Coturnix japonica: one gene and its partner. The protein of the gene in region 2 purifies or fractionates together with the protein of the main gene of each other region. This does not show direct contact. Links are inferred from orthologs where the notes say so. Each region holds a gene or a part of one and is shown on either strand. Other genes may lie near its edges.

The links. The genes of interacting proteins can lie anywhere in the genome.
Region 1: the proteins of METTL9 (region 2) and SLC39A10 purify together in Homo sapiens (co-immunoprecipitation; 3 studies listed by BioGRID and IntAct, with this or other methods). This does not show direct contact. The link is inferred for Coturnix japonica from reciprocal best matches to the Homo sapiens genes METTL9 and SLC39A10.

What each region holds. Positions count from the first base shown.
Region 1 is NC_029522.1:490,843-495,842, reverse strand, and holds the start of SLC39A10 (zinc transporter ZIP10), read left to right. Parts: upstream 1-1,926; 5' UTR 1,927-2,022; intron 2,023-5,000. UniProt on the Homo sapiens protein: Zinc-influx transporter. When associated with SLC39A6, the heterodimer formed by SLC39A10 and SLC39A6 mediates cellular zinc uptake to trigger cells to undergo epithelial-to-mesenchymal transition (EMT).
Region 2 is NC_029529.1:8,386,843-8,391,219, reverse strand, and holds part of METTL9 (methyltransferase-like protein 9), read right to left. Parts: intron 3,770-4,377; coding exon 3,585-3,769; intron 1,581-3,584; exon of another isoform or gene 1,193-1,580; coding exon of another isoform or gene 1,154-1,192; intron 932-1,153; coding exon of another isoform or gene 848-931; intron 569-847; coding exon of another isoform or gene 512-568; intron 1-511. Other genes in the region: IGSF6 (immunoglobulin superfamily member 6), read left to right, coding at 512-568, 848-931, 1,154-1,192. UniProt on the Homo sapiens protein: Protein-histidine N-methyltransferase that specifically catalyzes 1-methylhistidine (pros-methylhistidine) methylation of target proteins.

The DNA of each region.
Region 1 (5,000 bases), on a different chromosome or scaffold from region 2:
TTCCACTGCCAGTGCGCTTTGCCTAATTCGGTGTAGAGTCACCACCACATTTTTCAGATGTGATTGTGACATGCAAAGGACATGATTCATCAATACCCTGGAGCCTGTGCCTCACTCTTTGCATATTTGCATTTCCATTGATTTGAAAGGGCTACTAAGCATCTGAGTCCAGGCAAATCCTGGCCTGTGTAAGCCTGGAAACATTATTTAAACTCCTGAATAGGAGCCTGACAAAGTGTAAGTTCTGTGTTCCTCTGTAAACTTGTTTTATCATCATTTTCAGTGCATGGTGAAAACCAGCCCTTCTTCAGGCTCTTCAGTGACCATGGGAGATTATTGCCTTAGGGGAATGGAAACCAAGTAATCTTTCTTCCACATTCTCTTGGAATTTTACCAACCATCAGCACAATGGGGGGTGGGGGGAAGCAAGTCACATCCCATTGTCTGAACAGGACTTGCTGTTCCCTGTTGAACATTTTTTTGTGGGCTTAGGAATTTATCAGATGGAAAGCTGGTTTTTGCCAAAGAAGTTCTGAGCCTATGCACAGTGAAGAAAATTCTATCATTTACGTATCATCCTCCTGGTTCTTAAGCACGTCAGTAATCATTCCTGCCTTTCAGTCTCTGGATGCTTTGCAGTAGCTAAGACTAATTTGGATTACATTTTAGCTTAAAGTATTTTAGCAGAATGGTCTTGCTCTGGATATCTCTAAGTGATACCCTTTCAAGCCCTTTTTAAAGGCATGAAACTTGTGTTGAAATAAGTTCTCTAAAACAGCTCTAGCGCTCAGCTTTTTCTTTTCCTTTTTTTTTTTTTTTTTTTTTGTGGGAGGTTGCTGGTATCTGGTTTTGCTTCTTCAAGGACATGACACGGTGAAACAGAATGAAAACATTTTTTGTTTCCTTTCTGAACTTATATTAACAACCCTCTTTCTTCCGAAAACAGAAGAGAATTTCAGGACCGCATAAATATTATTACTAAGCTTTAAATGCCCTGAAAACAATGTCAGGCTAAAGCAAACAAAGTCCACAGAGGAGAAGCTATGTTTATTCGGATGTTAGCTTCAGCAGCACCGTGGCAGTGTGTCACTGTGTAGGCACCAAATAGGAAACCCTTCTCAAACCATCTCTTCCTGTGTAATGTTGAAGGAGAGCTGTTTTAGAACACATCAGTACCTCAGGGACAGAACACAGAAGTATTCTGTGTCCTCTGCCTCCCCAGGCAGGCAATGTGAAGTGCCATATGACTGCAGTCTCTGGTCAGTCAGTTTGGAGGCCTGTGCTGAGGAGTGCCAGTGAGTTGAGGTGGCAGAGCTTCAGCTTTACATCTGAGCTCCTATCAGCAGTTCTTCTTAAATATATCTGTGTGATTTGTAGCACTAAATAGCAGCGGTCTGTTGTGAACGTTTACCTGTCTAGGGAACATCTCTGTTGAGGATATTATGTTAGCATAAGGAATGATTCTGTTTTGCCTCAGGAGTCCATTGACTTGTGAGATGCATGCTGTTCCGTGCTGTTATGCAGTGTGACTCAAACGGTGTTTCGAAAGAAAGAGACGCACTGCTTTCTATACACCCTGCTCGCTCCTGCAAAAATCAGTTTTCTCTGCATTAAGTTTTGGATTAGACTGAAAACTCTCAGCAATACCCTCTGAAAGAGCAGCCCTCCGCTGCTTCTCTGTTGGCACTATCTGGCTCTTTTGCACTGCACATGCCTCAGTGCTCAACAGCCCCACGTTCTGTGAAGTGATTTGAAGTGTCTTCCTGTGAAAACAGCAGCTCTGGTTTTAGGACGACAGCATTGTGATAATATTGGTTTTACTAGCTCAAAGTTCAATTTCAGTGTAATAATAAATAAAAAAACCCTGCACGTTCAGCTCTTTAAAAAGAAACTGCATAGACAGCAGCTCTTCACATTCAGGGAAGTGATTATAGGCCATGCAAGTGAGGAAGAGGAGAAAGAGGAAAATGACAAGAATCAGACACTGCTGCCCTGCATGATGAATTTGGCACTCGGCACTGTGTAAGTGGATGGATCTGCTCCTTACGGGGAGGGGGCACGTGACTGGCATTTCTTTTTCTGATTCACTGCTTTTTAGAGGTTGCAATAACCAAGGCTGTTTTTACCAATTATCGGTACCTGTGATATCGTTAATGTTGTCTATATTGGTGGGACCAACAAGAATGTGCCTTCATTATAGGTTACGGAGTGTAAATTACATTAAACCAGAAGTTCTCTCAGAATGACAGCAAGGAATTCCAGTCATTCCTATGCTATGAATTTGACATAGTCTGTATGTACTTAATGTTATCCTGGAATTGCATCGTCCAGATTGGTACTTCAAGTCATTTGAGATAAGCTTGTCAGCAGGTTTTAGGATGAGTGTTTCCTAGAATCTGGCCTCTGCTTTATGTGGGAATTTGGCAATGAATTTGGCCCTAACCAGGTACACCTGATTTAGTGGTGGGCAACCCCGACTGCAATAGGTTCTGTGATTCTGTGACCTGTGCAACCCTGAGCAGTCTCTTTTCAAGTAATATTCTGAAATATTCTTAGCTTCCTTGTGAAGTATTATTTAGTACCAACTTTACTTTTAGCTCCTACTTGGTTTTAAGAAACAGTGTCTTGGAGTTTTGTCGTTATGTATTTACTTGCCTAAGGATGCTATGTTGCGCTTCAAAAATTAACTCTCATTTTTTAAGTAAATTGGAAATTGGGTAGATTAAGGGCTTTTAGAACTTAAATTTTATTTGCACTTAGTCTGTCAGATTTGTCTTTCATATATTTTACCTTTAATCAATAGGAAAACGATTCTGAAAATATTACTGAAAACACGCTGTTACAGAGTTTTACAGGCTCTACTTTATAACTGCTCATTGTGAAGAACACCTTATGTCTGCCTACCATTTAGTTTTAAAGATCTTTTCCAAATGCTGTACCAATGCTGTGTGAATTCAGTCTTGTATGCTATTCTTGGGAAATCACACAGTTATTTTATTAGTGGTTCCACGATGGCAAACTTCTTGTGTTTGTAGGAATGAATTTTCAGCTATAAAGGGGAGGGTAAGGTATAAAGGAAGGGAAGGTTATCTGAGAGAGGTAGAAAACATAAATGTTATGAATGGAATCAAGTATTTTCAAGCATAACTTTTTTATTCAGTTTCAGTGTGGTCAAAATTGGCATCAGTCTTGCTTGAGGCTTTTTTGCTTCCCTTGAGTTTGACAGTCCGTTTGTTATCTCTGTAATTAATGCTATTTCAACCCAGCCATTATTGTCTTTCTACGCGATTACTGGCATTCCCACTCATGAGTCTTCTCCGAGCTCTCACGATGCTCTTACACCTGCCAAATGCATCATCTGATATGTCAGCAAAGATGCATGACCGTGCAATGTTCCCTCTTCCACAAGCAGCCTGTCTAGTCCCACGCTCATTTGAGGATGTGGTTTAATCCTCTCTTCCTTTTCTAACAGAAAACGGGATGTATTCATCACCATTACTCTGTTCTGGTGCTATAGCTCAGTCTCAGTGGAGTTCTGTTTTATGTAAGTCATCAAGTCAGGCTGTGAAGTCATACAGCTGAAAAGTGGCAAAGGAGCAGGGCCTTCCCATTGCTCTGCCTCTCTTCCCAGCTTTTATCTGTGTCTATTCACAGGAACATTTTCTCCGTGTAATTTCAGAGGCATTCATCTCAGATTTTCACATTTCTTGTCATTTGAGCCATGTTCTGTGTATGCCAGTGCTGCATCATTGTGTATCTCAACTGAAGTTTACTTTCTTCTCCATAGCTGTTTATGCTTAAATTCACACTCCTACTTGTGTCATTAAAACTGTAGTTATGATCCAACTGTGCAAAGAGTTTTTGGGCAGCAACGTGCAAAATAAAGCTGCAACAGCTTGTAGTGCTGTTAAACGCTTGCAGTGAAAGATTTGGAAATTGAGGTGTTTCTTAATGTGATTCATAATCCACCTCCTAATTTTTAGAAATCAGGGTCTTTAACATGCTTTCTCATTGCAGAATACAAGTGAAACAAATTTTACATTGATGATGAAAAATTCAGGGTGGGAGGAACCAACGCAACAACAACTTCAGCACAAACCAGCATTTCAAAGAGAGGTGGTGTATTTTTAAAGTTGCTGGGACCCTGAAGGCCAGCATCCATCTCCTGCCTTCAGGTACTATATATGCCATTATCAGGCATGGAAGGATCAATGCAGCAAAATGTAAGCTCACTCTTTTATGAGTCAGTTGTGCTCCCTAAACAGAAGGACAGTTAGACAATAATTTTGAGTTGGAGAGTCCTCTTGCTGGTTTTACGTTGTGCTACTGGTATAGTAAACTTAAAAACAAACAGGCATGAGAAATATTCCATTCATAATTTGGTTGCTTCTGCAAACATGATTTTTGGTGGTTTTTTTCCTTTGAGAGTTCATGTTCTTGTCTTCTCTGTGGATGTCCCTTTCAGGCTTGAGTACTATGATAAAGAAGGGATGAGGCATCACAACAGCATTGTCTGCTGTCCATTCAAGCTTACATTATTGAAGTATATCCCTAGTAGATCCTAATAACTCCCCCTCCACTGCTGAAATTGCATAGTCCCTCCTCAGGCATTCAAAACGGGTAGAACAGAAACCTAAGGACAACTTGGCTTTCCAGTTCCACCTGCTGATGTTGGAGGAATTGCATTCACTTAAAATTTGTCATTTCCACTTGTACGTGTGATAGAAGTGCCAGAAACGGGGAAGTTGACGCAAGTTGCTGACTGAAATCTAGCTTTAGAAGAGCTGTGCTTTTATGGCTCATTTAGGTCTTGGTTATAAGTAAATACTGCTAATCATTAAAGCGGAGGTTAAAAATTGGCAGGGATTGACATAAAAGATACTGACTTTCATTTTCTAACTTCAGTCTGTTCATTGATCCTTTCAAATAATGTCAAGGAGAGTACTGTTAGTCTTTTCCATTCTATTTGAGAAGAGGGTGTAAAATGCCTGAACATGTAA
Region 2 (4,377 bases):
AAGACTGCATTAATGCACACTCAAAAAGTAGAGCTAGAAATTACCAACGCAAGTCATTAACTCTCTGGATTGGCTTCTATTAGAAGTAAAATAATTTAAATTCAATGCCAAAATATTTGTGAGCTGAAAGGTTAGTAAACTGACTTTACTTGCATAAAGAAATCGTGTTCATCCACTGTGTGAACACAGACATTAGAAAAACTGGTGCATATAACAGCAGGACATGCAAATATGGACTTTCCATGGAAGAAAAAAATCAACCATGCCTTTTTAACTAAGAGAAAACCTGCTGTCTTACTTTTGACAACCAGGTTGTGCTTTGGGCACGTTCTGTTGCACTCAAAGTAAAAATATTTACATCATTTAATACCGGAAAACAAAAAAGGCCCTGTATGTTTGAAAACCCTTCATTTTTTCAGTGGTACATAAGCAAATCTATTCAGTTTATTCTGCTATTTTGTTGTTAAATCATCCCTTGTTTTAATCATTTTTTTCTTCCCTCTCCTTCCAGTTAAAACAAAAGCTGCTAAATAGAAGTGGGAATGAAGGGCAGAGAACAGAGAACTGTGTACGTCATCACCGTCTGCTTTATCTATACTTTAGAGAGTAATAAAATCCGTACTTGCTATTTAAATATCCATTAAAGAAGGTACATACGTTAAGAGATGTAGTATTCATCTAATTTAAACACTTTGAGCTGCCAAATTATAAGTTCCTGGAGTGTTATTTAGTAACTTCCCCAAAGACACACACGGGGAAAACAATTACAACTATAAAAACGTAGCAAAAGATGCTTCTTCCAACCTCAGCTGTAGCACCAACATAACATGTTTTAAATCATTTACAGAAAATCAGTAGCGGACGAAAAATTTTTCGAGCAATAGCCCAAGAACTTCAAAAGCAGCAGCACGCTCAGCACTGCCACCAGCCCGTAAGTGTCTGTTCTTCTCATGTAGATAAACACATACATAAACTTTTGTACATTTTATACGTATATATACATACGGCCAGATAGGTAGATTGATAAATGGGGAGGGAAGAAGTTTGCTGGAACAGTAAAGGGGTGGAATTTACCTCAAAAAGGAAGTTCTGCATTTTAAAAAAGCCAAAAATATCTGCAGCAGCAAATAAACACTTGTACATTTTTCCATAGGATCATTTGGAGGATGACACAATTTATCAGAACAGATGAGGATGTGCTGCATCTCCAATTTGTTCAATATGTTTGATGCAACCAAAGGAGCTGATGAAGAATTTAAGCTTTTTCACAGACTTATTTTCCTTTAAAAACGAAGAAGAAAACTGAACAGGGCAGTTCTTCAGGAGTGTTTTCTGAACAGATCATCAAAACCAGCGTTACGTCTGTTACACATCACTGCCAGTGCCACAAGAACAGTGGGAGAAGACTTCATCTTTTAGAAGAGAACTGCTAATGCTTCACTAAAACTTCCCCTTTCAATTTATGTGTAATTTTATGTATTTTAACATGAATTTCAATGCATTTCTTTTATGTGAACTGTGCATTTTTGTGAGATGTACGTTAATCAACTGCAACAAAATAAACTCATTACGCAGTGACATTCAGTTTTCAGTCATATTAGTGTGATAGTTATAGTGGATACACAGATGAAAAATTACCACGTTAGACTAGTCACACAAGGGCAAGTTTTTTTATGATACCGAATGATTCATACAGCTTACTCAATAAATTCATATATAAGCAGGAAGTGCATTACTTGTTCTACATGTTGAAAACAAAACTTCTGTGAAAAGCTTAATTTATGATTAAGCAACTTTGGACTCTAGGTGTCACTGTAATTCCAGAAACAGAAACGTTACCTCCCACTCCACCTCGCTTTGTTCTCTGAACAAGCTTCACACTGACACTTCCTGCAACTGCTGTCAAACAAGTGCAGTAATCCAGATGTTTCATATCTCCTACTCTGAAACCTGATCTTTACCTGACTCACCCCTGCTCCATTTGTTCCCCACTTTAGAAATCTCCCCAAGCAAGTTCAATCTTTTAAATTAGCTGATACAAGGAGCAATCTAAGCTCCATACAATTTTTCTTCTTATCATGAAGCCTGTGTGCATGTGTGACATTTAAGGCTTCATCTTGTAGAACAACTGAATGAAAACAGTGAAATTTAAAATCTTTCATATGTGATGAACACAGAATGGCACTTCACTGTTTCTTTAGACTATAGCTGAATAAATCGTAAGTAGGAAAGCTTTAGTGGAATGCCAATAACTTGTGCATTTAGTAACTTGCATTGTCCAGAAAAGTTTATATAGGCCCATATTCACAACAATGGTAAACAGACATTTACACATTTACTTATGTGTTTTGAAGTTTCAGTAGATATTTATCACTTCTGGCTGTTCCAGTTGGTAAAGGCACACTAAAGTTAATCCGTCACATGTTGCAGGACAGACAGCCACAAAACATCATCACTGCACTGGCTGAGACTTATGACTAATCAACTACACGTTGCCAGAATAAACCAAAGTTTGACTTCGGTTTACTGGCTGTCTTAGCTGTTCTTACTTGTTCAAAGTTGAAATCCATTCTAAGATCAGCAACCAGAGAACAGGTTTCTACTTCTTCAGGGTTTCCAAATTTAACATCCTGTTCTATTCCCAGTTTGCTGCAGGCAATTAATGATGGATTATAAACTGACTTGAAGTATTTTTTTCTTCCTTAATTCACCAGCCTTCTGGTGAGTGAGGAAGTTACATGTGGTCTAGCATCGTTACCCAACATGTAGAAGAGTAGGTCCTAGGCACAGTAGTGATTGCAAAACACAATGACATTTTGAAGGCACACAAATAACACAAACATACAAATCACTCCTCAGTTTCTGCTTCTAACGTACTCATGGATGTCTAGTGAGACAATGCTGTTATTTGGAATATAAAATAATTTTAAATTGTTCAGGAATATGATTTAGCAGAGGGTTGTTAGGGTAGTATGGTTAGGTTGTGGTTGGACTCGATGATCTTTAAGGTCTTTCCCAACCTGAGCAATTCTATGATTCTATGATTCTAAACAGAAGAAGTGAAACAGTCCTACACTGTAGGAACATAGCTGCAACCAAACATACTTGAAAATACCATACAGATGCATAAGTGAAACTCATTTAAGACACACTATAGTTTAGAACTACATGCTCAAATACTATGCTTCAAGCATCTCTTCAAATTATGTTCTTTTTAGACTTTTTTTTTTCCTTTGCCTGTCTCAATCCCCCTCCTTCCCCAGTGTATAATGGCATATAGAAAAACAGTTTTCCCATGTTGCTCCACACGGCTCAAATGTGGCAACCTGCAGAACAGGATATGTGACTTCAATATCTGAGCTTTTTGTTGGTGCCAACAATGTATGCTGGGGAATTAAGAACACGGCTCTTACCTCATGTGTCCTATTTACCTATCATTTCATACTTCTCAACAAGCACACTACAAATTAGTTATAACTAAGTCAAATAAGAACATGTCAATTATTTTAAAAACATTTAATTCAGAATAGGGCCACATACAAAAGTTTTTAGTTGCCTAAATAGCTACTGATCCATGTACTTACCATTTTCCACGTACGGGTGAAATGGCAGAACTAATGCTAGAATGACTCTGCCTCTAGTTGGCTCCAGTACACTTCTAATATCTTTTAATACAGTCAGTGGCTGATCACAACGATCCAGCAAATTCAAACAGCTGATAACATCATACTGAAATCCTGTGTTCTGCCATTCATTTATACCAAGCACCCTACGGAGAGAGAAAAAGAGCCAAGTTCAGAGGGAATCACTGAGGATAAAAATTCCCAATTGATGTGCTGATAGCACAGAAAGATCAGCCAACCAGGCAGTGAGGAAAGGCAGACGCTGTCCTTCTAGTCCTATGGAAAACTACTCAACAATAGGCATGGCTATACATTCAGCCACACCTTCATACTGCCATATAAACACCAGGGTATTATTAAAGTCTGATGTCCTAAATTAAAACTGAACATACTTCTCAAAAGTAACAACAAAGCTGAAATGTGATTAATAGTTTGCAGCATTTAAACCACCCTGACTTACCAGTGTGCAAACCCAGTTGCTATTAATTTTCCTCTTATGGACAGGGAAGAAGAAATCAACAGTTCCTTCATTCTTTGTGTTGAAGTCTAGGGATACAGTACCCCAGACACTAAGCAATATTCAACAAGATCTGCTGCCTACAAGAACTTCCAGCTGTTGTGATTAGAGCACAACAAAGTTCTGAAAGTGATTAAGTTTTTGTTCAAAGTACTGTTAATCTTAATAGCAAGAGCTAAGTATAATAAAAGATTCTTTACAAAGCAGTCTACAATCATAATTTTCTGAGTGATTAGG